7 linked regions of the Callithrix jacchus genome follow. The protein of the gene in region 1 interacts with the protein of each later gene in a pairwise test. Links are inferred from orthologs where the notes say so. Each region holds a gene or a part of one and is shown on either strand. Other genes may lie near its edges.

Region 1 (3,500 bases):
ACTCTTTAATAAAAGTATCCTTTTATGTTGGCCTAACTGAATATGTAGTGTAGTATAATTTCGTTTGGATTATATTGTTAGGTGATGGAACTAGAATGGCTGATTCAACAACAATGCTATCAATAAGTGATCCAATTCATATGGTGCTGATCAAAACAGACATATTTGGTGAGACAACTTTAGTAGCATCCTATTTTCTGGAATGGCGATCAGTTTTGGGCTCAGAAAATGGAGTGACCAGTCTGACTGTGGAACTTATGGGTGTAGGTATGATGATTACTATATCATTGTTAACCTTTTTATAGCCACAGTTTGTTTGGCAATATATTTTCTGTCCTTAAAATGCTTTAATAATCCAAGAGGGAGACTTGTAAAATAGAATTTCATTAGAGTTACAATTGGACTCCAGCAGCCTAGTCTTGAGAAATGTCTTAAAGAATAGTATCAGTATAGCACTTCACAATCTAACCTTGCCTTAGGAGAACTGTTTTTTCTGGAAAATGAATATAGGAATTTTGAGGGTTTTAATTTTTTTCAAGTTCATTTGATTAAATATAGTCTATAAAGAAAATATTCTTGACACACATACAAACTTAGGTGTGTCCAGCCAGCACACTCTGGAATACATCCGCTTTAGTACCAGTGATTCTTGCAAAATATGGAGTAGGTGTTCTCCCAACCTTTTACAGTGGGTGAGTGAGACCTAGAAGTAATAATTTGCTCAGTGTCAGTATCAAGTACTTCTTGAGGGCAGAGATGGTGCCTATCTTAATTGCCATAGTCTTCTTGGAATCTTGCACACTGCCTGCTATATAACACATTTGCTAATAAAATGAAAAAAACAAAACCTACCAATGTTTTATCTATAACATATAATGGAATTGCTTTGGTTTTGAAACTTAGTCACAGAGTTAAACCTTGTCAGTGGACAGCATAGCCTTATTAATTTAGATTTTAATAAGTCATACAAAGAATGTATTGTTCTTTAAATAAAAATTATAGAAAAACTGTTCTTTATGTAGGAAATTTATTTTCAAAAACAATACCCAATTACTTGTCTTCAAAAATAGCCTAACATGATAGTATAGCAGTGACCTGGAAACAAGCATATTCTAAGGAAACATTAAATAGTTCTGATGTGATGCATATTTGTTTTCTAATTTAAATCCAGGCATGTTTTGAAAATTTCTACTCAGCCTGTGAATTGAAAATGGGGAGTGATAAATGGGAGTTATTATAAGTGACAATATAAATGTTTTCTAATTTTTTGTGTGTGTGGAGACAGAATGAGGTGTTAACAGTTGCTTTGACTTTAAATTTAATGTAAGTCTGGTTGACATTTTACATTTAATGAAGATAGGAATCTGAAATCCTTTAGGTCAGAAAAGTTTCTTAAAACATGTTAGAAAGGCCGGGCGTAGTGGCTCATTCCTGTAATCCCAGCAAGCACTTCGGAAAGCTGAGGTAGGAATATTACTTGAGTCCAAGAGTTCAAGACCAGCTTGAGGAATGTAGGGAGACTCCATCTCTACTTAAAGAAGAAAAAATGTATTAGAAAGCTAAGAAAATAGTTAATCTCCTTATAATTAAACATCTTTGTTTAAAAAAATTTTTGATTTGGTTCATTTTTAATACGAATATTAAAGGTAATGTCGAATGTTATCTTTATTTCATGTAAGTGATAAAACACCAAGTGCCTAAATTATTTTGTTTAGACTTTGGTTGGCTAAATATATATAGTATTGAAATCTCTGAAGTTCTAAATATTTATGTTTATAGGCACAGAATCAAAAGTTTCTGTGGGAATTTTAAATATAAAACTTGAAATGTATCCACCACTCAATCAAACTTTATCTCAAGAAGTAGTGAACACACAGGTAAATAATAATGAGTTTCTCTTTTTGTGTGTGTCTGTTTTCATAGAAGTGTATTTACCTGTTGATCCTAGAAAGCACTCTTTTCTTTAGAAAATTATTTATTACTTTCTTGATTAGCACTCAAAGGTTTACAGAAAATGTGAGAAAGAAAATAAAGACAAGTTTGTTTTCCTGGGAGAATCTGTAGTCTAGTTTCGGAAAGACGATGAAAATTTATTGAGACAACATGAGAATTACAGGATAAAGCTGAAGAGGACAAAGGAGTAAAGTGCAACCTCAGTGGGGTGGGATTTTAACATTTTTTTCATAGATATTTATTGTTGAAAGCTTGCTGCTTATGTCTTTTCTGCTCTGTCCTCTCAGGGTAGAAGTGCTTGCCACTTTTTTTTTCTTTTGAGATGGAGTTTTGCTTTTGTGGCCCAGGCTGGAGTGCAATGGTGTGATCTTGGCTCACCGCAATCACCGCCTACTGGGTTCAAGCTATTCTCCTGCCTCAGCCTCCCAAGTAGCTGGGATTAAAGGCGTGCACCATCATGCCTGGCTAATTTTGTATTTTTAGTAGAGATGAGATTTCTCCACATTGGTCAGGCTGGTCTCGAACTCCCGACCTCAGGAGATCCACCTGCCTCAGCCTCCCAAAGTGCCGAGATTACAGGTGTGAGCCACCTCGCCTGGCCCAACTTGCCACTTCTAGATTGTGTTTGGAGAAGCTTTTTTTTCCCCCCTAATTCCACTGTCAGGTCTCTGATGAAATTACTTTCTTCTTGGGTCTTTTAAGATTGGCAGGTTTTTTCATTCCTTCACATTGGACTTGTCATCTCTGTTTAGTTCTTGCCAGTCTTTAGTTTGCAGGTTCTGATTATCTGCTGACTTGCTGGGATGGCACCTGTGGAATGGTTCTTCTTGATTACATATATCACCCTTTACTCTACCCTGCCTGTCATATTGTTCCTTTTACAGACCTGTGGTTAGAAGCTAGTGCTTCTCCCTCAGGCAGTGTCCTGCCCTATTTTCTTTAAACTTCTTTTTCCTTCCTTTTGTAAACTCTGATCTCCCTCTAATCTCTAGCATCTGAGATGTGTCATGGTTAATATATATATATATATATATATATATATATATATATTTATATTTATATTTATATTAATGTGGTTAATAATATATATATATTTATATTTATATTTATATTAATGTGGTTAATAATATATATATATATATATACCTGAAAACACATAGTGGGAACCAACCTTGATGTTACTCAGATAAATACTCAGCCCTATAGGAGGCCAAGGTGGAAGGATCACTTTTGAGACCAAGCAGTTCAGCATCAGCCTGGGCAACATAATGAGACCCTGTCTCTACAAAAATTTTTAAAAATCAGTCAAGCATTGGTGGTACATGCCTGTAGTCCCAGCTACTTGGGAAGCTGAAATGGGAGGATTGCTTGACCCAGGAATTCGAGGTTACAGTGAGCTGTGATTGTACCACTGCACTCCAACCTGTCTCTTAAATAAAAGGTGTAAATACACCTTTACATATGTGTATACATGAGTTTTAATCATGTTATATTTATGTGGCTTATAAAGTAAATGTTTGGGCTCTATTTTTGGGGTAGTAAGTTGG
Region 2 (3,979 bases), on another chromosome or scaffold:
AGTCTGTCATTTTCCTCCCTCTCTTGCAGGAGACGGCTACGTGGCAGCTCCTCATCTGCCTCTCTGGCCACTCTGAGATGTGGGGCGTTCCACCTCACTGCCCCACAGGTGGCTGCAGCAGGCTATCGCTGAAGCATAAAAGTGGATCTTCGGCCACGGGGATCCCACCATTTCGGCTGCCTGTCATCCGGCCCCCTTTGTTTTGGTGTCACCCCATAGGACAAGGGACACAGGAGGCTGACACCGTGTGCACCTTGCTTTTGCTGTCTGTGTAAGTAATAAACTGAATCTATCCGAGCTCATTGTCTGCTTACTGGCTGAGTCTGTAAGCCTGCTGGACATACCCCTCCCTAGAAAGCCTCTGTTCTCATCTGATCCCCTTTTCCCACCTGCACAAACCAGAAGCTAAAAGAGTAAAAATCACCCAAGATGACCTCAGGTGGCACTCACAGGCATAGCATTAAGTGACTCCAAATCTCCTTTCTATCTACTTTCCAACCTTCCAAAACCTTTTATTTAATATGGTAGCCACTGGCTACATCTCTTTTCTACTTTCCAACTTTCTAGAACCTTCTATCCAATATGGTAGCTACTGGCCACATCTCCTTTCTACCTACTTTCCAACCTTCTAGAACCTTCTATCCATAGCTACTGGCCACATCTCTTTTCTATCCACTTTCCAACCTTCTAGAACCTTCCATCCAATATGGTAGCCACTGGCCACATGTTAAATTTAAACTTAAATAAATTAAGATTAAATAAAAAATTCAGTTCTCTAGTCATGTTGGCTACCTTTCAAATCCTCAGTGGTCACTTCTGGCCAGTGGCTCTGAAATGGACACAGCAGGTGTAGAAATCTCCATCATTGCAGAGAGGTCCACTGAAGGGCAGTGGTCTAGAAAGTCTTGGTGTGTTATTAGCGTGTCCTTAACACCTCTCTACATCTCCTTAATCTCTCTCTCTCTCTCACACTCTCTTTTATTTTATTTTATTTTTGCAAAAAATGATCGGGCCACATGCTTAGCAACAAGACTATTTAGCTAAAAATTAATAGCATTTAAAACACTACATGTATTTTTACAGTTACTTTCCACTTATGGTGAGTGATGTTGGCTTTCAATGTATGGCTAGGAGGGACATTTTTACACTCAACACTGGATTCTAAGGAGCTTCTCCTGCAGGGCTGCCTCATCCAGTGGTCAGGGTCTGTGCAAACAACAGCCTCCTACTGTTGGGCAGTGTGCAACCTGCATAACCTTACATGGCAGTCCTGCACACTCCTCAGCACTTCAAGAGGGCACACCAATAAGAGCCTAGGAAGAGAGGACCTAGAATATCTAAAAGTCCTAACACCCCTCTCTCGGTCCCTTCCTGTCCACCCTCTACCCCAACTCAGTATCCCCCTAGACTCACGCTCCACTCAGCACTTTCAAAGATCGCACAGTCTCGAAGCCAAGGTCCAGCACGCTGGGGCACTCGGCTGTGAACTCATGTCGCCGGCCCTGGAAGCCGTCCTGGTCCCACACCACCATCTGCGCCAGAAAAAAAGGTGGAGATCCGCATCAGAGTCCCCTGGAGGGTGAGGGGTTGGGGCTGACTCCAGGATCTGGCAGGTAAAGCGGGGACTGCAAACTCAGATGCCTCCAGGAGCCAGGCAGGCAGGGGTGGTGAGGACTGTGAAGAACCACAGAGCGCAGGCGCCAGGTAAATGGGTGGCCACCAATGGTTGCCAGGTGGGAATTGGGAATATGGGTCAGACCTTCCAATTTCTCAAGACAGTCACTAGTTCTGGACTTTTACGTGGTTCTTCCAAGCTTTTAAAGGCTGGTGATAAATTCAAAAGCTTTACAAAAACAAACAAATACACACAGAGATGGTCAATGAAGTCATACCCAAAGACTGTGCAATCTCTGCCAAGAGTGGAACAAGTCAACTTTGGGAACCAGCAGACCCAAGTGCACATTTGATCTCCCTGTATGTGACATACAAGTCCCTTCTTGATTCTGAGCCTTGATTGTGCCTCTGCGAAACAGGCATTCATAATGCCCTTCTCCTGGGATTCCTGGGGACCGGAACCCTCCCACATGCCCTGGACACCCCCTCCCCATGCCCCTTCCTACCTTCCAGTGTCCTGCTGACTTGGTGCATTGCAGGGTCATCGTGGCCCCTTCCTACAGAAAACAAGAAAGTCATCATCTCCCACCCTGACCCTCTGCTCTCCTCCTTATGCAGAGGAGTAGTTAGGACCTGGTCAGGATCCAGATGAGAAGTCCAGGAGTGACTGGGCTAGGGGCAATATGTGGCTTTGGCCTGTCTCTCTCCTGTCCTTTCCATCTGTCACTAATGCCATCTTCCATCCTGTCCCCATCTCAAAACTCACCCATGCTGGGTCTCTTTGCCTCTGATCCCAACTTAATATTCTTTTATCTGCTTGTTTCGGGAAATTTTCTCTGGCTGCTGGTGGGTGGATGCATCGCCCCAGTGAGTGCTAAAATGCTCAGTGTGAAAGAACCCTTCCAAAGACAGCACCTAGCTCCCAGAGGTAGCTCTGATGGTGGAAATGTAGGCAACAGGGCTACAGGAATAATTCTGTTTTTAAATGAAGGGAGCGGGCGCTGGTCTTGACGGTTGGGGCTAATCCTTGCTTAGGATGAGGATGGCATTCAGGATGACACAGTGACATCCCTAGGACTAGGGACCTGGGCTCCTCGCCTCCCGGGATGCTCACTCAGAACTCTGATCCCACCCCTTTCTCCAAACCTGGGACTTACCGAGATAGGCCCAGGGAACATGTCAGATCTGAGACCAGCCGAGGACAGGCTCTTATAGGCAGGGAGGGAAGAGGGGCCCCTGGGAGACAAATCCCCGACTCAGCAACTGGACGGCAGAAACAAAAGCCAGCCCTGGCTGAAGAGCCAATGGCAAGCTGTCAGCAGCTCTGGCTTTAGCAGGGAGCGAATAGATCAGATCACCACCCCCAGGGATCAACCACCACGAAGGAGAGAGGTGGAAGATTTGCCTTCATCGGCCCCACAGGGCTCCTGACTAGAGCAGGAGAATGAGCACTAGATGAGGAGTCCAGAAGCTTCCTTCCTAGCTGTGTGAGCTTGGGCGAGTCATTTCCCCTCAATTTCTGCCTATAAAATGGGGCAGAAACAGACTATATCACAGAGTCGTTGCGAGGTTATATAACATGCCTGGTACTGAATAAACATTGAGAAAATGCCTCTTCCATTCCTCCTCTCGTTCCTCTTTCTCTTCCAGTTGAAGCAATCAGGATAGGCTGCCTGTTGGAGGAGGCATTGGAACGAGACTCTGAAGGATGGGGAAGATTTGTACAGAGTCAGAATGGAAGGAGAGGCATTCGAAGAAGAATTTCAGAGGTGGGAACTTGGGGCACATGTACAAGAAAGAGCTGGTAGCCCAATTGGCCTGGAGCCCAGAAGACCTGGAGGGAAGTGAGGCAGGAGAAGAGGGCGAGCCCAGGGCCTGCTGGGTCCGCAGATGAGTCCAGATGGTTCTGGGGGCAGCATAAAGGAACTGTTGTTTGCAAACATGCTTTGCAAACTGTAGCACATTTGCCAAATATCCAGGACTTGTACAATTTGCGGTGTGCCTCTTGTCCCTAAACCCTGCCCTCTGAATTGGCCTAAGAGGAGCCTCTTACAGCAGAGGAAAAGAGCATGACTGGAAACCCAATCATCCGAGATGAAATCCAGCCCTGCTTCTTAACACCTGGGCGACCTGGAGGATCTCTGAGTCCTGAGACCTGTAAAGTGGCCACACCTGTTTCCTTTCAGGGCTGTGAAACGCAGCTCTATCAAATGCATGACTTTAGGCCGGTTGCAGTGGCTCATGCCTGAAATCCCAGCACTTTAGGAGGCCAAGGCAGGTGGATCATCTGAGGTCAGAAGTTCAAGACCAGGCTGGCCAACATGGTGAAACACCGTCTCTACTAAAAAAATACAAAAATTAGCCC
Region 3 (3,500 bases), on another chromosome or scaffold:
ATTATCTCTTTTAATCTGCCTGACCTATGAGGCATTTACTGTTATTTTCCTCATTTCACAAATGAGAAAACAAATGAACAGGTTAAGTAACTTGCCCAACGTAACAGGTGTGTGGTTCTTCCCACTTCCCCTTTACCCACATTCCTCAGGCAACCATTCCTCACTGCATCTTTTCTCTCAGCTGCTTTCAAGGTGTGTGTGTGTGTGTGTGTGTGTGTGTGTGTGTGTGTGTGTCCTTCAGCAGTTTGTTTATGATATGTCTAGACATGATTTTAATTTATTCTATTTGGTGTGTGCTGAGGTTGAATTCTCTAAATTTATATTTTTAATCAAATTTTGAAAGTTAGGGCATTATTCATTTATTTTTTTTTCTGCCCCAATCTATTTATTCACTTTTTCTGGGGCTCCAGTTATACTTACTTAGATATTTTGAAACTGTTCCACAGGCCCCTGAGGTTCTGTTTATTTATTTATTTCAATCTTCTTTCTTTGTGTTCTTGAGATTGGATAATTTCTGTTGAGCTATCTTCAAGTTCATTAACCTTTTCTTTGTCATGTCCTTTTTGCCAATGAGATCATCTAGTGAACTTATGGTATTTTTCAGTTCTAAAATTTTTAGTTATTTTTTATAGTTTTTCATTTCTCTGTTTATGTTTCCTATCTTTTTACTTATTTCATTTGTGTTTTTCTTTACCTCATGGAGCATAGTTATCTATTTGCTTGAAAGTCTTTGTCTGGTAAATTGAACATCTGCTTTATTTTGGCATTGATACTGTTGATTGTTTTTTTTTCTGTCTCTCTCAATAATTGACCATATTCCCTTTTTCTTTTCTTTGACTGTCAGGTAACTTTGGATTGTATCCTGGACTTTGGAATGTGATATGGGTCCTGTTATAGTCCTCTGTGGAATATTGGTAGCTTTATTTTAGTAGGCATTCAACCCTCTTACTTCAGATTACAACTTCTGTCTCATCTCCGTCAGCTCTCTCTCCTATAAACCCGGTTATTCAGTTTTCAGCTCTCCAAGCACTTGCTATACTTTTTTGAATCTGTTCCATGCACTGTAGTTTAGAGGTTAAACTAAGACTTATAAGTGTTCATACTCAGAAATAAGGAGTTGCCTTCACCAGCTCTCTTTCCCTCAGGCTTCTCCCACACTGTCCAGGTTACGTGGTGGTTACGTGGTTTCTTGGGCCAGAATTGCAGTGGGGTTTCTATTGGAATTTTAGTGCTTAATACAGCTCTAAACCTGGGAACCACTCTCAGGGCAAAGCTAGGAAAAGGGTGGAAAAGGAAAATAAAAATTGGCAGCTCATTCTTCTGTCATTTACTTTTCTGAGTTTTGACCCTTCTGTACAATCTACCTGGTCACTTTTACTTTTCTCCGTCTTCAAGCATGTTTCAGAATTAATAGTTGCAATAGGGAAGTAGGAGTTGCCGGGAAATTATATCTCTGCTACCTTGGTAGTCAATATTGAATTTTTTTACTGAATCCAGCCTAACAGGTGGTTTTTGTTGTTTGTTTGTTTGTTTGTTTTTGGTATTAACTTCTTAAAATAATGTATTGATTAGATAAAAGAAGTATGTTGTTTTCAGCAGTTCTTTCTACAGAAAGGTTTGTTCTAAGAAGCATACAATAAGAATTTTAAATAAATCAAAAGCTTTATATTATGGAAACGTCTTGCTTATATTTATTTTGTTACTCTATAATGTAAGGTTAGATTAAAAAAAAATAAGAGAGTAATATAACAATAAATACCTCCCCAAAACAGCATCATCAACTCTGAGTTTCAAAGGGACTTTATTATAGGTGGAAAAAATTTCAGCATTTCATAGGAAAATAAAGACGATTTTTATAGCATTATCTAAATAAAAGAAAAAAAGAGTTTTAATCCTGCAATAGCCATATGAACTTAATCATATTTGTTTTTATGTAATCATCAAGATTGTCATGAGATTTAAATTTCTTAGTTTTTTATGTGTGTGTTAAAATGCAGTTGAAGATCCCAGTGTAGTTCTACTTTTTGTTTTTTGTTTTTTTTATCTAAGGACTTTTAATATTTGTTAGTGACCTAAAACCTAATGTGTGGATGATGATATTCAAACTTAAATATTTAATAATGTTTACATATAATTTTTTCCTTTCAGATGGTCTTCTCATTATTAGTGTTCACTCAGCTAAGTTTCCAAATGAAAAAGTCCTGGATAACATTAAGAGTGCCGTTCTTCGATACAACATCACCCACCCTGTGGTTAATGATGCAGATGCCAGCCTTTGGCAAGAACTAGAAATTTCCTGCTGGCCAACTCTAGTCATACTTGGACCTCGAGGAAACATGTTGTTTTCTTTGATTGGCGAGGGACACAAAGACAAATTATTTTTATATACTTCAATTGCTTTAAAGTATTACAAAGACAGGGGGCAGATCAGAGATGATAAAATTGGAATAAAACTCTATAAAGATTCTTTGCCACCTTCACCATTGCTATTTCCTGGCAAAGTAACAGTAGACCAAGTTACTAATAGATTGGTAATAGCAGACACTGGACATCATAGAATTTTGGTCGTTTGGAAGAATGGACAAATTCAGTATAGCATTGGAGGTAAAGTTTGCTTCTGATTATGATACATGTTTTCAGTAAAAAAATAGTTCAGGTAAATATAAAAGTTGAAATGTCTGAATGAAAACTAATTATAGAAAGGTGATATACCTGGACTTAACTTCCTAACACAAATTTTTTGTTAATTAATGTCTGATGTCTGAATTAACCTCTTCTTACTCCCTCATAAAACAAGCAAAACACCAAAAAAGCTTCAGGTCAAAAAGAGGAAATAGTTCAGCTTTTAGGTATATTTACATATTCAACCTTGTTTTGTTAAAAAACTGCCAGACTTACTGTGTCTTATGAAAACAGATGTTTTAGATTTCAGACATTTTTAAGTGGAATTATTATATTTCACTTTCCAAAAACGAATAGCCTTATCTTTTTAAAGATTATGTCAGTGCCCCATGAACCTGAGAAGTAGATTATAAAATAGATAAGCAGAATTTGTACATAATTTTCTCTCCTTTCTTCTATAAGAACTTGAACATGTTTCTGGATCTACTTCCAGAATAGAAATAGTTGTAGCAGCATGATACTTATAATGTGTAAGTATCATGGAAGCATAAATCATTTTGTCCTATATCTCCCTGGTCTTAGATCTGAAACTGCCTCTTGGTTACATCTACATAATTAATAAACTCTACTGAGTACATTCTTATTAATTCTGCTTATGTAAGCTCAACTGACATCTGACAAACATGTTAGTCAAAGACAAAAGTAATTCATATCTTTTTGCAATCAGTCCTGCTTTAGTAATATATGCAGCATTAGTATGTAAAGTAGGAATGTCTTAGTTCTTAATATAAAAAAGCTAGTTGTATTCCTGTGCCTTGATGTTATTCTTAATATGCCAAGATGCAGTATGCGTTGTGTTTCATGGTATTTGTTTTGTT
Region 4 (4,138 bases), on another chromosome or scaffold:
AATTTAGTGACCTGATCTATAAGTGGGAAAAAAAACAGTATGATTGTTCAGAAAGCAGGATGAACATTTCTCTCTGATAAGATACTATTTTGTGAGTTCATTGTCCTTGAATACTGAAAATAATGAAGGAAAATAAATATTTTAGACGGAAAAAGATAGCATAAAGAGGTGTTCAGATAATGACGTGATCGACCTAAAAGGTTAATAAAACAACAAGCCCATCAAAAGCAATTACAATTGACAGAAAGCTGGAAACATTAACACTGTTGGAAAGCTCAAATGACAGAAGTTCACAAATTCTTAATCACCAAATCTAGGCCTCTCCTCATTACCATTCAGACCACTCACAAAGATCCCATTAAATCGGCTCATAATCAGCTTTAAAAAACAAGACTCCTTAAGAGACGTGGCAATGTAAGAGGTGGCGCACGTACACAGGAACAACAAATGACTAGTGAAAACTGAAGGGTTTATCGGAAGCGAAAATAACAGTGCTCTCCTCCGTGAAAAAGAGAAAGAAATCGGACGGGTCTCCTTTAAGTGAAAACAGACTGTGAGAATATAAAGACATTGCTTACATCTGTTTTAACATTCAATTTATCTAAGGAAAGAAGAGAAAGAAGTGTTTGGAACATAAATAAATCCTTCCTTACAGGAAGGTCAGAAATGTGGAAATACGCAGAAGCTGGTGGGAGCATAAGCCGATTGTGAGACAAGAACATCTGGAGAGGTAGCCCTGGTCGGGATGTGGGAAGAGGACTGCGAAAAAACAGCAGAACCAAGGGAAAGAAAAGGAAGAACCGCAGGTCCACTGCTCATCCCGAGTGCCTATAAATACGCCAGACTCTTAGCATGCGCAGAGGACACGGAAGAGGTGAGCTTTCCGGCCAGCCTATTGTCTTTGAGAGACAGAGAGGGATTCCCAAACTCACCCGCCGCTCCCGCCCCATGTCAGTCAGTTCCTGCAGCTCCTGCCCAGCAAAAACCTTGCGGGTGGTCACAGGCTGCTATCCTTTCACAGCTGTTTTGGGGGACAAAGATAGGGTAACGAAGCCGTGGCTCCACACTTACTTTTGCAGCCGGGCGCCATAGCGCCCTCACCCTTCGTTCCCGAGAACAATGTGGCTGATGCCCCCACCTCCCGACTGCGTCGCGCGACTGAATTCTGCCCGCTCAAGATGGCCGCGATTTTAAATTTGGCGCTTGGCTCAGACGTTGACGCCCGCGAGGAGGCCGCCATGTTGCCCGGCCTACGCATCGGGGGCGTGGCCCAGCTGACGTCACAGGTAAGTGCCCTCGCCTCTGTATCGTCGCCAATCTGTCGCGGAACTTGTGTTTACTCGGAGCTACCATGAGCAAGCGTAACCAGGTATCTTACGTGCGGCCAACCGAGCCAGCGTTCCTGGCTCGCTTCAAGGAACGCGTCGGCTACAGGGAGGGGCCCACTGTAGAGACCAAGGTGAGCTCTCGCCAGTCGTGATACTTTGGAAGCGCGGCCCGCCCGCCACTTCCAATTTCTGCCTTTACTTGGAGGCTGGGTGCTGTCGGGTCCTACTTTTCACCCGCGCTCGGCCCCGGTTCCGGTGGAATACGGCCCCAGGCTGGTTACTTTCAGGCGACTACAGCCCCCTACGCTCAGGAAGCTCAGTAGTTTTCAGAGCGCTACTGTGTTCCTGAAAATGACCTGACGTGTAAACCGCCTGGTCCTTGATAGATGATGGTAAAGCAAGATCACTTTCCTGTCTCTTCTTTCTCACTTGTTTACCTCAAAAGCTGAGTTCGCAGGGTGAGTTACAGTTACAGCGTAGTCCCGTATTCCAGATAAGGACACAGATGCATCAGAGGAATCACTATCCATGGCAGCTATAGCCTCACAAAATGGCTTTGATTTCTTTTTTTTTTTTTTGAAACGGGGTCTGGCTGTTACCCACGCTGGAAACAGCAGGGACTTACAGAAATATTTGCTACCTATGAGCTATGCACAGCATAAGAAAGAAGAGGAGGTAAATACTTCCAGAGGCTCTAAATCTGGAAGGCAGCTTGAGTATGAGTTGGCCAGGGGCAGTGGGGCTTAATAGGCAGTAGGAATTTGTTCAGAGACAGGAAAAGCAAAGGAGCTAATATGTTTATGAGTCTCCAAGTACTCAAACCTTGCTAGAGCCTAGATGCCATGAGAGTGGCACGGGATAAAGCTGTGGTTATGGGCTGAGGTGAATTCTTGGCAGGGCTTTGTTGCCTTGTTTAGGAGACAAGGAAGACTCTCTGTGAGGTAGAGTAAGGAGCGATTGTGTTTGAATACCATGTGAACACACATTTTGGTGTGCATACCTTTCAACCCAACAGTTTCACCTCTAGTAACTGTTAACATTAGAAGTTCTTGCATATACGTTCCCAGAAGTGAGCAAAAAAAGTGTATGAAGTTTTTTCATAGTAGAAAAAAATCTGGAAATAAGCAAAATTTGTATTTACAAAATACTGGTCAAATCATGAGATTACCATATATGTAATTAAATGCAAGGCATTGATTTTTTAAAAATCAAATAATTTTATGTGTGTCTTAAAGCACTGCGCAAAGATTTTTTTTTTAGTTAAGTTGAGGGAGTGGGGCTTTTATGGTGTGTGAGATTTCAAAAATCTGAATCAACTGGCAAAATATTACCATTTGTTACACAGACAGGGAGTGCATGGTTTCTGTTATGTTATTCTCTGTACCTCATATTTGAGAAATTTCATAAATAAGAAAAAAGCAAGTCACAGTAGCATGTACAGTGTTATTGGTATACAAAAAGTTTTATGTACCTACATAGTTTTATAGACTTGGAAAATAGCTAATAGGATATCTACCAAACTGAAGCTATTATTAGGAGGGCGAAAAGATGAGCAGAGGTGAGAGAAAGAGTACGTTTTACTTGCTGCTTTCTATACTTCGGTGGTGTTTATTTCTTGTCTAAGTCGGAGAAGAGACAGGTGAAGAGTGTTGATGAGGAGCAAATAACTGACATGGCACAGTGCTGGCCTGAGTAGGCTAGGAATGACAACAGTACCCAAAGCAGAGAGCCCCACACACTAGTAACTACAAGCTGGGTCCTGCTGAGATTGAAATGAATCACTGGACAGGCATTTCCGGGTGAGTGGCAGTGAAACCTGTTCCCTTTGGCAAGCTCAGTCTTTTTGGAGTTACTTTAAAATTAATTGCCAAATTCACTTACTCAATAAAGATACCCTTCTCACGAATAATTACAGTTTCTCTTAGAGGCAGTGCTTCTGTTTGTCTGAAGATCAGTGATCTACATGTTGTATTTGTGTTTTTCCCTAGAGAATCCAGCCTCAGCTCCCAGATGAAGGTGGGGATCACAGTGACAAAGAAGATGAACAGCCTCAAGTGGTGGTTTTGAAAAAGGGAGACCTATCACTTGAAGAAGTCATGAAAATTAAAGCAGAAATAAAGGCTGCCAGAGCAGGTAGGTCTGAAAGTAATCTGTTTTTTCTAACAATTTAAGGAGCCCAGGGTACGAAATTGTTTATTTTATTTAGTAGCATGGTATGTTTCAAGGAGACAGTTCCAGGTTCAAGCCTTAGCTTTGACACTTACCAGGTGTGTAACCTTGAGCAAGTTATTACACTGCTCAGCCTTAATTTCCTGATCAGTAAAATGGAAGTAATGGTACCCATTGGGTTGTTATAGGATTAAGTGTGAGTTTAAGTAAAGACATCCTATTTTTTTTTTTAAATAGATGGTTAGATTTATAAACCACTTGAAAAATGTCTGTTTCATTACTGTTCAGTATGCTATGTAGTATATTTTTCATTATTTCTGAACATTTACTACATTGCTTTAGGGGAAAATGCTGTAGTTCCAATCACTTTCAAAACACTTAAAAATACAACCTAATTGTAACTGGGACCTGACAATATTATAGAATACTTTAGCATGTGAGTTTTTATTCAGTAACTGCATGTCTTGAGGGCAATCTAGCTAGAAACAATGGAGAGGATCAGACTGAATCAGATTCAGGGACACCCTTAAATACAGTATGAGATTTTTCAAAGAAAAAATAATGAGGAGAGAAGAAAGTTCTTAAAAATCTGTTTTTGCTCAGATGAAGAACCAGCTTCTGCTGATGGAAGAATCCTATAT
Region 5 (4,195 bases), on another chromosome or scaffold:
TGGGAAACCGGTACAAGTGTTAGGAGGCATCCGAGGTGGGCAGGGAGGTAAGGGGAGGAAGGCACTCAAACCACTCTTCTTGCCAGATCTAAAGCTGGACCCTCCTCCTCCACCTCCACTCCCCCACCCCCTTTCTGGTTTGCAGGTTTCAACAGCTCTTGGATTCCCAGAACCCACAGGGAGCCCTTGGGACTTGGGAATCTCCTCCAGCCCAAATCTTCAGTCTTCTCCTCTCCTCCCCATGGCCAACAGGGTCTGTGTGAAGAGAGGCCGGGCTCAGGGACTGGGACATTCAGAGAGGAGAATTCAGAGTTTTGTTGCTCTGGGACACAGCTTGGTCACTCCGGGAAACGAACACAACCCATTGGCTGTCATTACTAGAAACAGCGAATGGCTAAGGAATGGCGGGAGGAGGGAAGAGGACTTCAGAGGTTTAAAGAAAAAAAAAAAAAAAAAAAGCACTGGAAGACCGGACTAGAAATCCTCTGGGAGGCTGGGCCCGCAAGGAGCCTTCCCGCGCCTCAAGCCCACTTTCCTTCCCTCTCGACCTGACGAACTTAGGGCGTGCAGAGTCTCTTCGGACAAAGTCAAGCCAAGAGAGCCCTAAGCTTCTCCTCCAGCAACTGCTACAGAAGCTAGAAAACTTAAATTTTGCAAACAAGACTTGCAGCGGGACACCTAAGCGACGCTAAAGGGCGGTGGAGGGGATGCCGCTTCCCAAAGTGGAAGCGGGGAGGGGGACCGGCGGACACCAAACAGCCCCGTGGAGCCTCGGCCACCGGCAGCGCTAGGCGCCCCATCCCCAGAGCCAAGCGTGTGACTCGCGCGCCGGACAACGAGGCGCGCGCTTGCGCGTGCGCAAAAGACCCACCCAGCCGAGCCCTTCTTCAGGTGCGCTCGCGCTTCCGGCCGACCGCCCCGCGTGCTTTCCTCGGGCGGAAACTCCAGAACCCGCGCATGCGCCCTCTGGCTCTCCGGCTTGATGAGGGGCGTAGGTCCACGGCTTCAGGTGATCCCGCCCCTCCCTCGAAGCGCAGGACCAATCGCGCAGCGAAAGGCGGGGTTTTTTGAGGAGGCGGCCCGCCCACGCATCGCGCGAGGCGTGTATCGATTGGTTGGCGCCGCGGGCGCAGGTGCGCGTTTCCTATTGGGTGTGGGCGGAGCGCGAGCGGTTGCAGCAGCTTCGGGGGCGGCAGGTGAGCACGCGCACGCGCCGCGGCTGTGGCCCGGCTCGGGTGCGCGCGCGCGGGCTCGCGGAGGAGGTGGCTGAGGGAGAGGTTGCGGCGCCTGTGGCCTCCGCTCCGCCCCCTCCTCCTCCTCCTCCTCCAGCGCTGTCGTCGCCGCCGCCGCCGGGGCCCGGAGGGAGGGAGCTGCGTCTCCGCCCGCCGCACAGCCAGTCCGACCCTCGGTCCCGCCGTGTGAGCAGCCGACCGAGTGCAGCTCGGCGCAGACGCCAGAGGTGCGGCCGCCTTCTTTGCAGGTGCCTGTGAGGAGGCTCCCGGGCCGCAGCCGCCTTCCGAGCCCGCCGGCCGCGCACTCGCTCCCTGCTCTCCAGAGGGGCCGCCCGGCCGGAGGAGGCCGCCGCTGGCCCGGCGTTCAGCATGAATCGCAGCCACCGGCACGCGGCGGGCAGCGGCTGCCTGGGCACCATGGAGGTGAAGAGCAAGGTGCGCGGGGCACGGGCTGGGCGGAGCGGCGGGCCTGGGGGGCCAGGGCCTGGGAGAGGCTGGGCAGGTCTCGGAGCGCCGGGGGAGGCGACGGTCCGAGCTGCCCCGGGGTCTGGACGTGCGGGCGGGGGATGGTGGGTAATAAACTTGCCGAGGAGGGTGCGGCGGGGGTCGGTGGGCGCTAGTGTCCGTCCGCCCATGGCCCCGGCAGGAAGAAGATCTAATCCAGCGTTTAATCTCGTCCCGTAAATCTCATTCCCGTGTTCACGGCTGGGAGTAGGGGCCAAGGTATGCCCGAGGATGGCACACATTTAGTGGAATGCGAGGCGGCTCAAAAGATGTAGGGGAATCCTGCCTGCTGGGCTGTGAATAAAGGGCCCTGGACCACCTCGTTCCCCCTTTCTGGGGTTCAGGGGCGCATCGAGTGGCGAAGGAGAGAGCCCAGTGAACTAAATAGCCCTTGAAAAGTTCCCTTTGCTTCCTGCTAGCGCTCTTTCTAGAACTAACTTTGGTATGCATTTAATCTGTAAAATTAGCGCTATCACCTTACGCTGGAGTAGCACTTTACAGTTTGAGTTTGGATGCTCTTTTCATTCCATCCTGCTACTTACTTACATCAAGTGTTTTTCCCCTTGACCAGCGGTATGCCAATCTGCTGATAATTATTTCGGTATTCACTGAATTCCTAAATCGCAAGGCTCGGTGAGCAGGGGAGTCTGTAGGGATTAGTTAGGGAATGCCTTCCAAAGGGGGTTTTGAGATGGAGTTTGAAGGTGATCGGCAGCTACGGGAACATTTTCGACGAAGTTTCTTGAGTTGAAGAGTTAAAAGGAGCTTAGATAGTCTAGTCCAATTCTCTGAGAAGACTGAGGTTCAGAAAGGTTATGACTTCCCAAGCTCTTTTTTTGCAATGCCTTCATGCCTTTTTAACAGTAACTTTTAGGCACTGCAGAATACAAAACAGGGCACTGGCTGGGCCCTCGGAACATTTAAAATAGAATTGAAAAGGCCAAAACACAGAAAACGAAAAAATTGAAAGCGTATCAATTTCAAAAAAAAAAAAAGAAGTAATGGAGCGTCATAGATTGTAAGCCTACTAAGGAGTATGCAGAATCAAGGAGTGAGTTGAGTGGAGTAAGGAAAGCTTTCTAGAGCCTCTGGGTAGAATGGTTTTATTGTCTACGGTTGATAAGCAAAGTTCTGTAAGTTTCTGTAACTGAGAATCACATCGAGAAAATCTACATTTGTTTGTAACATCATTTAAAAATGTGATTTGGCACTGAAATGAGGATTGGCACTAGTTTCAGAATCAGTAAGAAGTGTAGTTATAGCAATTTAAGGAATGTTCGTGTGTCTGTGTGCCATGTGCACGGCATAGCAAATTGAAGTGACTTGCTTGAGCTATATAGCGTGAAGATGACCCAAAATATGTAGCAGAGCTTTTCCTCTAGCGGTATAGTGGCAGTAGTGGTTCCGTGCCCAGTGGTTGAACCTTCTTACAGCATTTCTGTTATAAGTCTCGTTTGGATTTGTGGGCGTTGAGGTTATGGAAAGAAAAACACTTGTGATATTGCATAATCTTAAAAATAAGTTTATAGCCCTAATTTGGGTAGCAAATCTTTAATTTTTTTCTCATAAAAAATGAGTTGGAATTCTGTTTTATCAGTATTTATCAGCATGCTGATAAATACAATCAAATAGTAGTTTATCTCTAGTACTAAGAAACCTTGAGTGCTTTAAAACTGGAATTTCAGGCTTTTTGCCTTTCTCTTGTCAACTGATTTTTGAATCTTTCACATACTTCTGTCTAAACTACATGTTGTATATTTGAACTGCCATACTGCACTTTTAGTGAACCATGTCTCTTAAGTAGACTCATACACTGATTCTAGAAACATGCACTGAATGAATGCACTGAATGCACTATTCTAGCTGTTGACAAATAGGCAAGGTATAGGTAGGGGAGTATTCCTAATGTGTCTGTGACACCTTCTATCTTTCAAATATATATTTCTGATACATTTATTTTCAGCGGATTGAAATATTTGTCATCTAATCATTTAAAAAATATTTGGAGGGGTTTTTAAAACAGTATTTCCTTTGACATTGCTTTAGTGATAGCACAGCTTTTTTACAACACTAATCCCTAAGAGTTTGTAACGAAATAGGTAGTGTGCAGGTCCTTTTATTAATTCTTTTATTTTTCGTGTCAGGATCTTGCTCTGTCACTGGGGCTGGAGTACAATGGCACGATCATGGCTCACTGCAGCCTTAACCTCTCGGGCTCAAGTGATTCTCCCACTTCAGCCTCCTGAGTAGTGGGATTATACGCATGCGCCACTACACCCAGGTAATTTTTTTTTTTAATAGAGACGGGGGTCTTGCCAAGTTGCCCAGGCTGATCTTGAACTCCTGAGCTCAAGTGATGCCCCCATCTCTGCCTCCTGAAGTACTGGGACTACAGGCATGAGCCACTGCACCCTACCTGGTCTATTTTTCTTTTCTTTTATTTATTTTTATTTTTTAAA
Region 6 (4,241 bases), on another chromosome or scaffold:
TGGCTCGTGTGCAGGTTACAGAAAAAGCTGAGAGGCTGAAGAAGGAGGGGACCTGACCCTACCCTGAAAACAGGGTACATGAGATGGAGGAGGCGGCATGTGACAGAAGGGATCCGTCACCCATCATAACACAAAGTCAAGGCTGAGTAAAAAAAGTATCAGCTTAGGCCAGGGGCGGTGGCTCAAGCCTGTAATCCCAGCACTTTGGGAGGCCGAGATGGGTGGATCACGAGGTCAAGAGATCGAGACCATCCTGGTCAACACGGTGAAATCCCGTCTCTTCTAAAAATACAAAAACTTAGCTGGGCACGGTGGCTCGTGCCTGTAATCCCAGCTACTCAGGAGGCTGAGGCAGAATTGCCGGAACCCAGGAGGCAGAGGTTGCAGTGAGCCGAGATCACGCCATTGCGCTCCAGCCTGGGTAACAAGAGCGAAACTCCATCTCAAAAAAAAAGAAAGTATCAGCTTAAAGGGCACGTTAAAGCCCACCCTGGGCAACAGGTGTGGCAGCTCATGCCTGCAACAACTACTAAGGAGGCTGAGGGTCACCAGGGCTGGGTAGAGTCTGTGGAACACAGGGAGATCCTATCTCAAAAACAAATGAAAAGACCAGCTTACTTAGAGCTATGGAGAAGGACCTCAAGAAACCAGGCTTTGAAGAATGGGGCTGGGAGGTGGGGCAGGGGACACTGCTTTTCATGTAAGTCTTCCACTGACATGGCTGCTGTATACACTATGTTGATTAAAACACTGAATGGATGGGGTGTGTTTTTTAAGAACATCAGCTTAGAGAGACTGAACTGGAGCCCTGGCTCTGTGCATCTGCACACATGCCCTCAGCATCTGCAGCCACATCACCTCATCTATGGAGTGGGGGTCACGGTGAAGGATGCAAGATGTTGAGCTGCCCCCACAGCCTGAAGCTCTTTTTTTTTTAAAGATTAAAGCCACAGCCTGGGAAACAAGGCGAAACCCCCCCCACTATACAAAAATTAGCCAGGTGTGGTGGCACCTGTGGTCCCAGCTACCTGGGAGGCTGTGGTGGGAGGATCACTTGAGCCAGGGAGGTTGAGGCTGCAGTGAGCCAAGATCACCACACTGCATTCCAGCCTGGCAGACAGTTAAAATCCTGCCTCCAGAAAATAAAAACATTAAAACCAGTGAGCACAGAATCCAACATTGCTGAGAAACATTAAGTTTGCCCTGGCCCCGTGGCTCCCTTGTGGAGAGGACCTTTCAGTTAGTGGTAAGCGGGTAACAACTGCCTACCTGGAATATTTCTTGAGTTGTAAGTAAATACAGAACACCTGTTTATTAACAATAATCACCTGTTAACATGTGGATCGGAGCCTGCTGGGGGCCTTCAGCCTGGAATGCTGTCAGCCCCGAGGCTCAGCTCCGTAGGCTATGGGCCCCGCCAGACCCTCGATGCTCTTCTACCTGGGCGTCTTCCCACTGCCTCCAGCGCAGCCTGGGTGGAGGTCTCCCTGCCCAGTGGTACTTGCTGCAGCTTATGAATATATTCTTATTTGAATTGCAAGGCAGGGGAAATGCACCTACATACAGTTTCACCTCGTTTCGGTGTTTTCTTCTAGCACTGGGTATTTGCGAGCTGCGGGCGAAATGACCAGATCTAGTTTTAATTTGATGTTTTCTGATCTTCCTCAGAACCACTCACTACTCCGAGCTATTTTTCTGTCCCCCAAGAACTTCCAGCTACAAGTGTACCCTAAGACTGCCTCCTCTTATCGGTTATTTATTGCAGCGCAAGTTCCGCCAACGCCATCAGGCCCTGGAGTACATTCCCGGGCAGACAGGCAACTCCAAACAGAGAATGACCGGCTCCACATCAACTGTGCGGCCCGGGCCTCCCCGGGGAGGGTGCGAGCTCGCCACCGTTCAGAGCCCACACTCGTGCACCTGCTCACAGTTCTTCAGGGCTGATGTATCTCCCCAAGAGCAAGACAAGCCCTGCCACGTCCTCAGGGAAAAACCACAGTCCCCTCCAGCAAGGCACTGTCTCCAGTGCGCTCACACAGTGGGGATGGAACGTCATCTACTTTCTGCACCCCAGGGAAAAACAAACGGCCCCCTTTTTAGGGGCTGCACCACAGAACTCGCACACAGGCGCTGAGGAGGGGGCCCCCGGGAACGGGCTGGGGTCCTCGCCGAGCTCGGCGGCAGCCCTGAGATCGCCCGTTTCGCTGCGCGCCGGAGGCTTCCGCGTGCAAGTCCTGGGCTACTGGGGCTCCTGTCCACAGCCATGGAGGAGGCACAGAAACGGTGCCCGTCGCTCACGGCTGGCTGGCAGGAGCCACCCCCGAGGGAGACCTCGGTCCCCCGAGGAGCACGGGCGCGGTTCTAGGCCTTTCCAGTCTCCCCGCCGCGGCCCCGGAGCAGAGATCGGGAGCTCGAGGCCCCCGGGCCGGGCTACGGCAGCCGCGGCCCAACGGACGCCGGGGCGCGGCGGGGCAGGGGGTGCGGAAGCGAGGAAGCGGGAGCCCCTCTTCCGGGGCGCGGCCAGGGACGGGGAGCGAGGAGCTGGGGGCGCTCGCCCGGCCCAGACAGTTGGCGGCGGCGGGGCTGCGGCGCGGACGGCCCGGCGGGCGGGAGGGGGAGGAGGAGGAGGAGGAGGGAGGAGGGAGATCTCGCTCTCGCTCTCGCCCCGCGGGAAGGGGGAGGCGGAGGCGCGACCGGCTGCGGGAGCTGCAATTACCGTGTGGGCTGCGGAATTCTCGTGGTGTTTGTCGGGGAGATGCGATAATGGCGTCCGTCCTCGCGAGAGAAGCCGCCGCTCTGCGCAGGCGCCGCGAGCCCCTCCCCGCGACGCTCGGCCCCCGCCCTCCGCGCAGGCTCACTGGGCGCGCAGGCCCGGGGGTGGGGCCGGGGCCGGGGCGGGGCGTGCGGGCGGCGAGGCCCACTACGCGCACTTTTCCCGCTCGGCCTCCCGGTGAGCATGCGCAGGCTGGCTTCTCCCGCGACGGTATCGGCTTCCCAGGGCTTTTTTCCCCCCGTTTTTCGCCCACGCGCCTGGCCTGCCTGAGAAAACTCATCTCAGTGGACTGTCTGAAGAATTTGCATCTTCTTTGAGATGGAATGAATAGGCATTAGCTTCCTCAACGACTACATCTCCCAGGGTTCCCTGCGCAAGCTAGGAGCGATGCATTCTGGGACTCGTAGTGCCTTCGTCTGGACCCTGCCTGCCGGGACTTGTAGTCTCTCCGGACTCCGGTCGCGGCGTCCAGTCCCCGCACCAGGGGCTGCTGGGACTTGTAGTTACAATGATTCAGGTGGGCTGTGCGCCCCCAGCGGGTCCTACTTGCTGCTGCGACGAGTCCTGCCCTGAGGTTCCGGAGCGCTGGGAGGCGTGTTTCCAAAGATGTAAGTGGTCAGGGGTCCCCATTGTCCGTCCAGAGGGGCCTGAGTTCACGCGCGCGCGGGGGGGTAGCACACACAGTAGTGATTATGGTCTTAGACATTTCCTACATGAAACACATGCCTAAGTGATGGCGGCCAGGCGCCGTGGTCACGCCGGTAATCCTAGCACTTTGGGAGGCCAAGGCGGGCTGATCACTGGAGGTCACCGGTTCGAGACCAGCCTCGCCAACATGGTGAAAACCCGTCTCTACTAAAATTACAAAAATTACCTAGATGTGGTGGCGCAGTCCTGTAATTCCAGCTACTTGGGAGACTTACGCAGGAGAATCACTTGAGCCCAGGAGGCAAAGATTGCAGTGAGCCGAAATCTTGCCGTTGTACTCCAGCCTGGGCGACAGAGTGAGACTCCGTCTCAAAAAAAAAAAAAAAAAAAAAAAAGGATGGCATCGAATGTGCACACGTTATATTTTATGTAGAATAAATGTGCAAATGTGCATTTGTGGTAATCCTAGGAAAAAATTCCCAAAGTATAGGGCAATTCCTGGAAATGTCATTCCTGGTTATCTCCCTCTGTTTAACTGGACTGCATTGCCTTTCATTTCTTCTTTACACTCGACTCTGTTTTCCGAATTATTTGCAATGAGCAAGAATGCCTTTGATCTCCCAAACCCAGGGCAAGGGAGCTGTTTTCACTGGGAGAAGAAAAGGCTTTACCTTGATAAAACCAGGACTGAGCGCAGTCACAGGCCGTGCGACCATGGGCAACCTTACCGAGTCAAAGTCTCCTCCAGAATGAGGCCCAGAGGTTCCACTGAGGCTGGCGGCTGGGTTACTCACAGCAAAAGAACCTTACAAACACTCCA
Region 7 (3,130 bases), on another chromosome or scaffold:
CATCATAATCATAATTTTTCTTTGAAGAATTTCCTATTTCTTCAATAGCAGTGATAGCACTGACATCAAAAAAATACTAGCCTTATAAGCTTATTTTAAACCAGTTCCTAATGGTAGTAACTGCCTTTCTCTTCATGGCATTGCTGAGCATTGATTAACAACCAAGCTATAGGCCACGCATTTTTAAATTAGTGATCTTAAGTAATGAGATCGTAGGGAAATCTCGATCTGATATTTGATATTGGAGAATCAGAAGAGGTCATAGATATACTTAGTGAATTCACATGTCTGAGGCTCCACGTGGTGGGGACGTGGACATTAGTAGTAGTAATTAGCCTTGGATGAGACAAGAACCGAAATTCACATATAAATGGGAAACAGCCAGCGCTGCTAGGTAGAGCTTGTCTAGATTGGGACTAATGAACTACTTTTCAATCTGAAGGCGTCAGGAATAGACAGGCTCCTACTTCCGCAAATACCAAATGAAAAGCCAACCCACTGTTCTTGAATTTATAGATCCAATTTACACTTGCTCTTTTTAACTAATGGAACTAGCCGGCCCCTGCATGCCAAGTTTCTATGGCAATGTGATCTCAGTGACCTCTCTTCTCTATTGTGGAATGTAGGTGAAAAGAACGGAGGGGAGCCTGATGATGCTGAACTGGTAAGGCTCAGTAAGAGGCTGGTGGAGAACGCGGTGCTCAAGGCTGTCCAGCAGTATCTGGAGGAGACACAGAATAAAAACAAGCCGGGGGAGGGGAGCTCTGTGAAAACTGAAGCAGCTGATCGGAATGGCAATGACAATGAGAACAACAGGAAATGAGGCCTGAACACAGGTCCTCAAGTCTGTGTAAAGCATCCCTGCTCCCCTCTGCTGAGTCTAGGGACTGACTTGCAGCGTGCTGTTTAAGTTTCTCTGGTTCAGTCTGTGGAGATTGCCTAATACTTTCATGATCGATGTGATGGCGTTTCTGAAACACAACAAGAAAAATGGAGTGCTGGGACTGGCAAAGGAAATTAATTTATGAAAGAAGAATGGCCCAAGTTTCACTCGCCCTCAGCCATGCACAAGGGAGAGAGAACTTTGGGTTATGCCTCCTGGACACAAATTACAGGCCGCGAAAGAGGCCTTGCCATCAATGGAATACTGCCATTTATATTGCTTAGCAGGGCATTTGACTACTTTATCTGAGGCCAGAACTCTCACACACAGCTATCAAGTGCTAAGTTTAAAATAATCACTGTTGAAATTGTCATCTGTACAATTAGTCCATAATGTTTCATGTCTGTCCTAAGTGTGCTGTTGCTATGCAGTGATCTTTATTTATAGTAAATTATGTTTCATGTAAATGATATATTTTGGTGAAATGCAACCTTTTCTATAAAATGTGGGCAACATTTTAAAGTTTTTTTAAAATCCTATTTTGATAAGTCAGTATGCCATATTTAATGAAATGTATTATATAATTTTTTTTCTTAGGCAAGAAACCTATTGGAATTCAAGAATTAATTAATGAAGCTTTGCATCGAGAAATGATGGGTCTGAAGTCCAAAGTGAAACAGATAAAGGAACTTTTATTAAAGCCTGAGATTCAGGCCAAAATTAGGAGGGAGCTTTTTGAAGGAAGACTTATTAATAACAGTAATCCAGCAAATGATGTTATTTTTGGCACAACTTTGACATAAGCTCTACATTGCAATTGTGGCAACATAGCCCCTGAAATCTTTCCAGCTTACCAAGTAGCTCTTTGGTATACACCAAAGAAGTTTCTGATAGTGTCTGCACAACAGCAAACCAACATTTGGTAAGGAATTAGCAATTTCTTGCCAAAGAAAACTCATTCTGCCCTGTTATTTTTTGAGCTAAACTTGTGTTTTAGAATGTCTGTTTCTGTGATATTGAGAGTTATTTTATAAAAATGATTTCTTAATTAGCCGTTGTGAGATATTTCTTGGGTCCTTGCAGAAGAAAATACAGACTGTGAAGAAACCATTCACAGACAAATAGAACAAAACAGAGCCAACAACAGTATTTGAAGGGTCACTTGCCTCCTGTTGACATGATTGTTGCTAAATCAAAAGAAGCATTGTCCAGGTGTGTCTATATCTAGTGTTACTTTTAATGAGAATTTGAATGTTTATTGAACAATAGTACTTGAACGAACATTTATAAATGTAATTATTGCGATCACTGGTTAAGAATGTTTTATATATCCTTATAATATTTTTCACTGATCAAAATGTAGTTTGCTTTTTCATTTCTTAAGGAATTCATGTTTGGGATTTTTATTTTTTACATTTTCGAAGATAAGCTCCAGGACTTATCAGATCCCTTGTAATCTGAATGTGTTTGCACTGGTTCGGTTTTAAAGAGCATTCTGGAAAACCTTTCCCTGCTATGGTGATTGTTGGTAACAGCTTTTTCTATAGTCATTGTAAAATGGCTGCTACCAATAGATCATGATAGAGGGAAATCACTGGAGATCAAATGTGTAAAATCATTTCAAATATAAAATCCAATTTACTCATGGATTTTAGCTATTTTTTCACTGAGTAAATTATACTACATTTATTTACAAATGAGTTTATGCATTTTCCTGGCTCTTAATAAACATACTGTTTTCCCTTGCCTTTTCTCATCTCTTCACTGTTGGGAGTAGCTGGATCTATGTTGGCATAAGGAAGTTATCAACAGGAGCTCTGACAGCTTCGGTGTTGCTTCACCTTTCTGTTCCTGTCCTTCATGCTGAGGTCGCACAGTGGTCAAAGCACCATCAACTTCATGCTTTAAAATCGTATCAAATCAGTCAGCTTCACCGAGAATTAACAGCAGAACCTTAAATTCAAAGAAAATCTAAATTCTCAGCTTCACCGAGAATTAAACAGCTAAGAATGTGCCAGTGATGTGACATCCTAGCAAAGATGAAAAGTGGAGATCCATCCAGGTGCAGAATCCTGCAGCTGTTTGCTGTGAAACCCCTTTCAGTGGTAGAGGGCTTGACTGTTTGTAGATGGGTTCTTTAAGTAAATCCTTAAGGTGGAAAGCAAAGATAGTTTTGGCCTTGCCTTGTGTTTCAAAGAAGGGAACAGACTCCAAGAGGTGGCACACCTTATCCAAGGCCTCACTGCT

Evidence for each region.
Region 2: the proteins of CEP76 (region 1) and CRYBA4 interact in binary tests that used the Homo sapiens proteins (3 or more experiments, as listed by UniProt). The two-hybrid records come from large-scale screens. The link is inferred for Callithrix jacchus from reciprocal best matches to the Homo sapiens genes CEP76 and CRYBA4.
Region 3: the proteins of CEP76 (region 1) and NHLRC2 interact in binary tests that used the Homo sapiens proteins (3 or more experiments, as listed by UniProt). The two-hybrid records come from large-scale screens. The link is inferred for Callithrix jacchus from reciprocal best matches to the Homo sapiens genes CEP76 and NHLRC2.
Region 4: the proteins of CEP76 (region 1) and KIAA1143 interact in binary tests that used the Homo sapiens proteins (3 or more experiments, as listed by UniProt). The two-hybrid records come from large-scale screens. The link is inferred for Callithrix jacchus from reciprocal best matches to the Homo sapiens genes CEP76 and KIAA1143.
Region 5: the proteins of CEP76 (region 1) and PARD6B interact in binary tests that used the Homo sapiens proteins (3 or more experiments, as listed by UniProt). The two-hybrid records come from large-scale screens. The link is inferred for Callithrix jacchus from reciprocal best matches to the Homo sapiens genes CEP76 and PARD6B.
Region 6: the proteins of CEP76 (region 1) and BANP interact in binary tests that used the Homo sapiens proteins (3 or more experiments, as listed by UniProt). The two-hybrid records come from large-scale screens. The link is inferred for Callithrix jacchus from reciprocal best matches to the Homo sapiens genes CEP76 and BANP.
Region 7: the proteins of CEP76 (region 1) and AKAP7 interact in a two-hybrid assay, tested with the Homo sapiens proteins (3 studies listed by BioGRID). The two-hybrid records come from large-scale screens. The link is inferred for Callithrix jacchus from reciprocal best matches to the Homo sapiens genes CEP76 and AKAP7.

Annotation. Positions count from the first base shown.
Region 1 is NC_133514.1:49,805,184-49,808,683, forward strand, and holds part of CEP76 (centrosomal protein of 76 kDa), read left to right. Parts: intron 1-81; coding exon 82-267; intron 268-1,010; exon of another isoform or gene 1,011-1,528; intron 1,529-1,779; coding exon 1,780-1,877; intron 1,878-3,500. UniProt on the Homo sapiens protein: Centrosomal protein involved in regulation of centriole duplication. Required to limit centriole duplication to once per cell cycle by preventing centriole reduplication.
Region 2 is NC_133502.1:197,352,606-197,356,584, reverse strand, and holds the start of CRYBA4 (beta-crystallin A4), read right to left. Parts: upstream 2,801-3,979; 5' UTR 2,793-2,800; coding exon 2,772-2,792; intron 2,172-2,771; coding exon 2,121-2,171; intron 1,533-2,120; coding exon 1,414-1,532; intron 1-1,413. UniProt on the Homo sapiens protein: Crystallins are the dominant structural components of the vertebrate eye lens.
Region 3 is NC_133513.1:106,805,814-106,809,313, forward strand, and holds part of NHLRC2 (NHL repeat-containing protein 2), read left to right. Parts: intron 1-2,148; coding exon 2,149-2,604; intron 2,605-3,500. UniProt on the Homo sapiens protein: Required for normal embryonic development.
Region 4 is NC_133516.1:27,524,864-27,529,001, reverse strand, and holds the start of KIAA1143 (uncharacterized protein KIAA1143 homolog), read left to right. Parts: upstream 1-1,338; 5' UTR 1,339-1,351; coding exon 1,352-1,459; intron 1,460-3,316; coding exon 3,317-3,461; intron 3,462-3,510; exon of another isoform or gene 3,511-4,100; coding exon 4,101-4,138. Other genes in the region: kinesin-like protein KIF15, read right to left, coding at 1,072-1,258.
Region 5 is NC_133506.1:46,271,386-46,275,580, forward strand, and holds the start of PARD6B (partitioning defective 6 homolog beta), read left to right. Parts: upstream 1-1,395; 5' UTR 1,396-1,601; coding exon 1,602-1,667; intron 1,668-4,195. UniProt on the Homo sapiens protein: Adapter protein involved in asymmetrical cell division and cell polarization processes. Probably involved in formation of epithelial tight junctions.
Region 6 is NC_133521.1:45,581,195-45,585,435, reverse strand, and holds the start of BANP (protein BANP), read right to left. Parts: upstream 2,801-4,241; 5' UTR 2,717-2,800; exon of another isoform or gene 1,329-2,716; intron 1-1,328. UniProt on the Homo sapiens protein: Controls V(D)J recombination during T-cell development by repressing T-cell receptor (TCR) beta enhancer function. Binds to scaffold/matrix attachment region beta (S/MARbeta), an ATC-rich DNA sequence located upstream of the TCR beta enhancer.
Region 7 is NC_133505.1:137,944,879-137,948,008, forward strand, and holds the end of AKAP7 (A-kinase anchoring protein 7), read left to right. Parts: intron 1-626; coding exon of another isoform or gene 627-823; exon of another isoform or gene 824-1,480; coding exon 1,481-1,686; 3' UTR 1,687-2,630; downstream 2,631-3,130. UniProt on the Homo sapiens protein: Probably targets cAMP-dependent protein kinase (PKA) to the cellular membrane or cytoskeletal structures.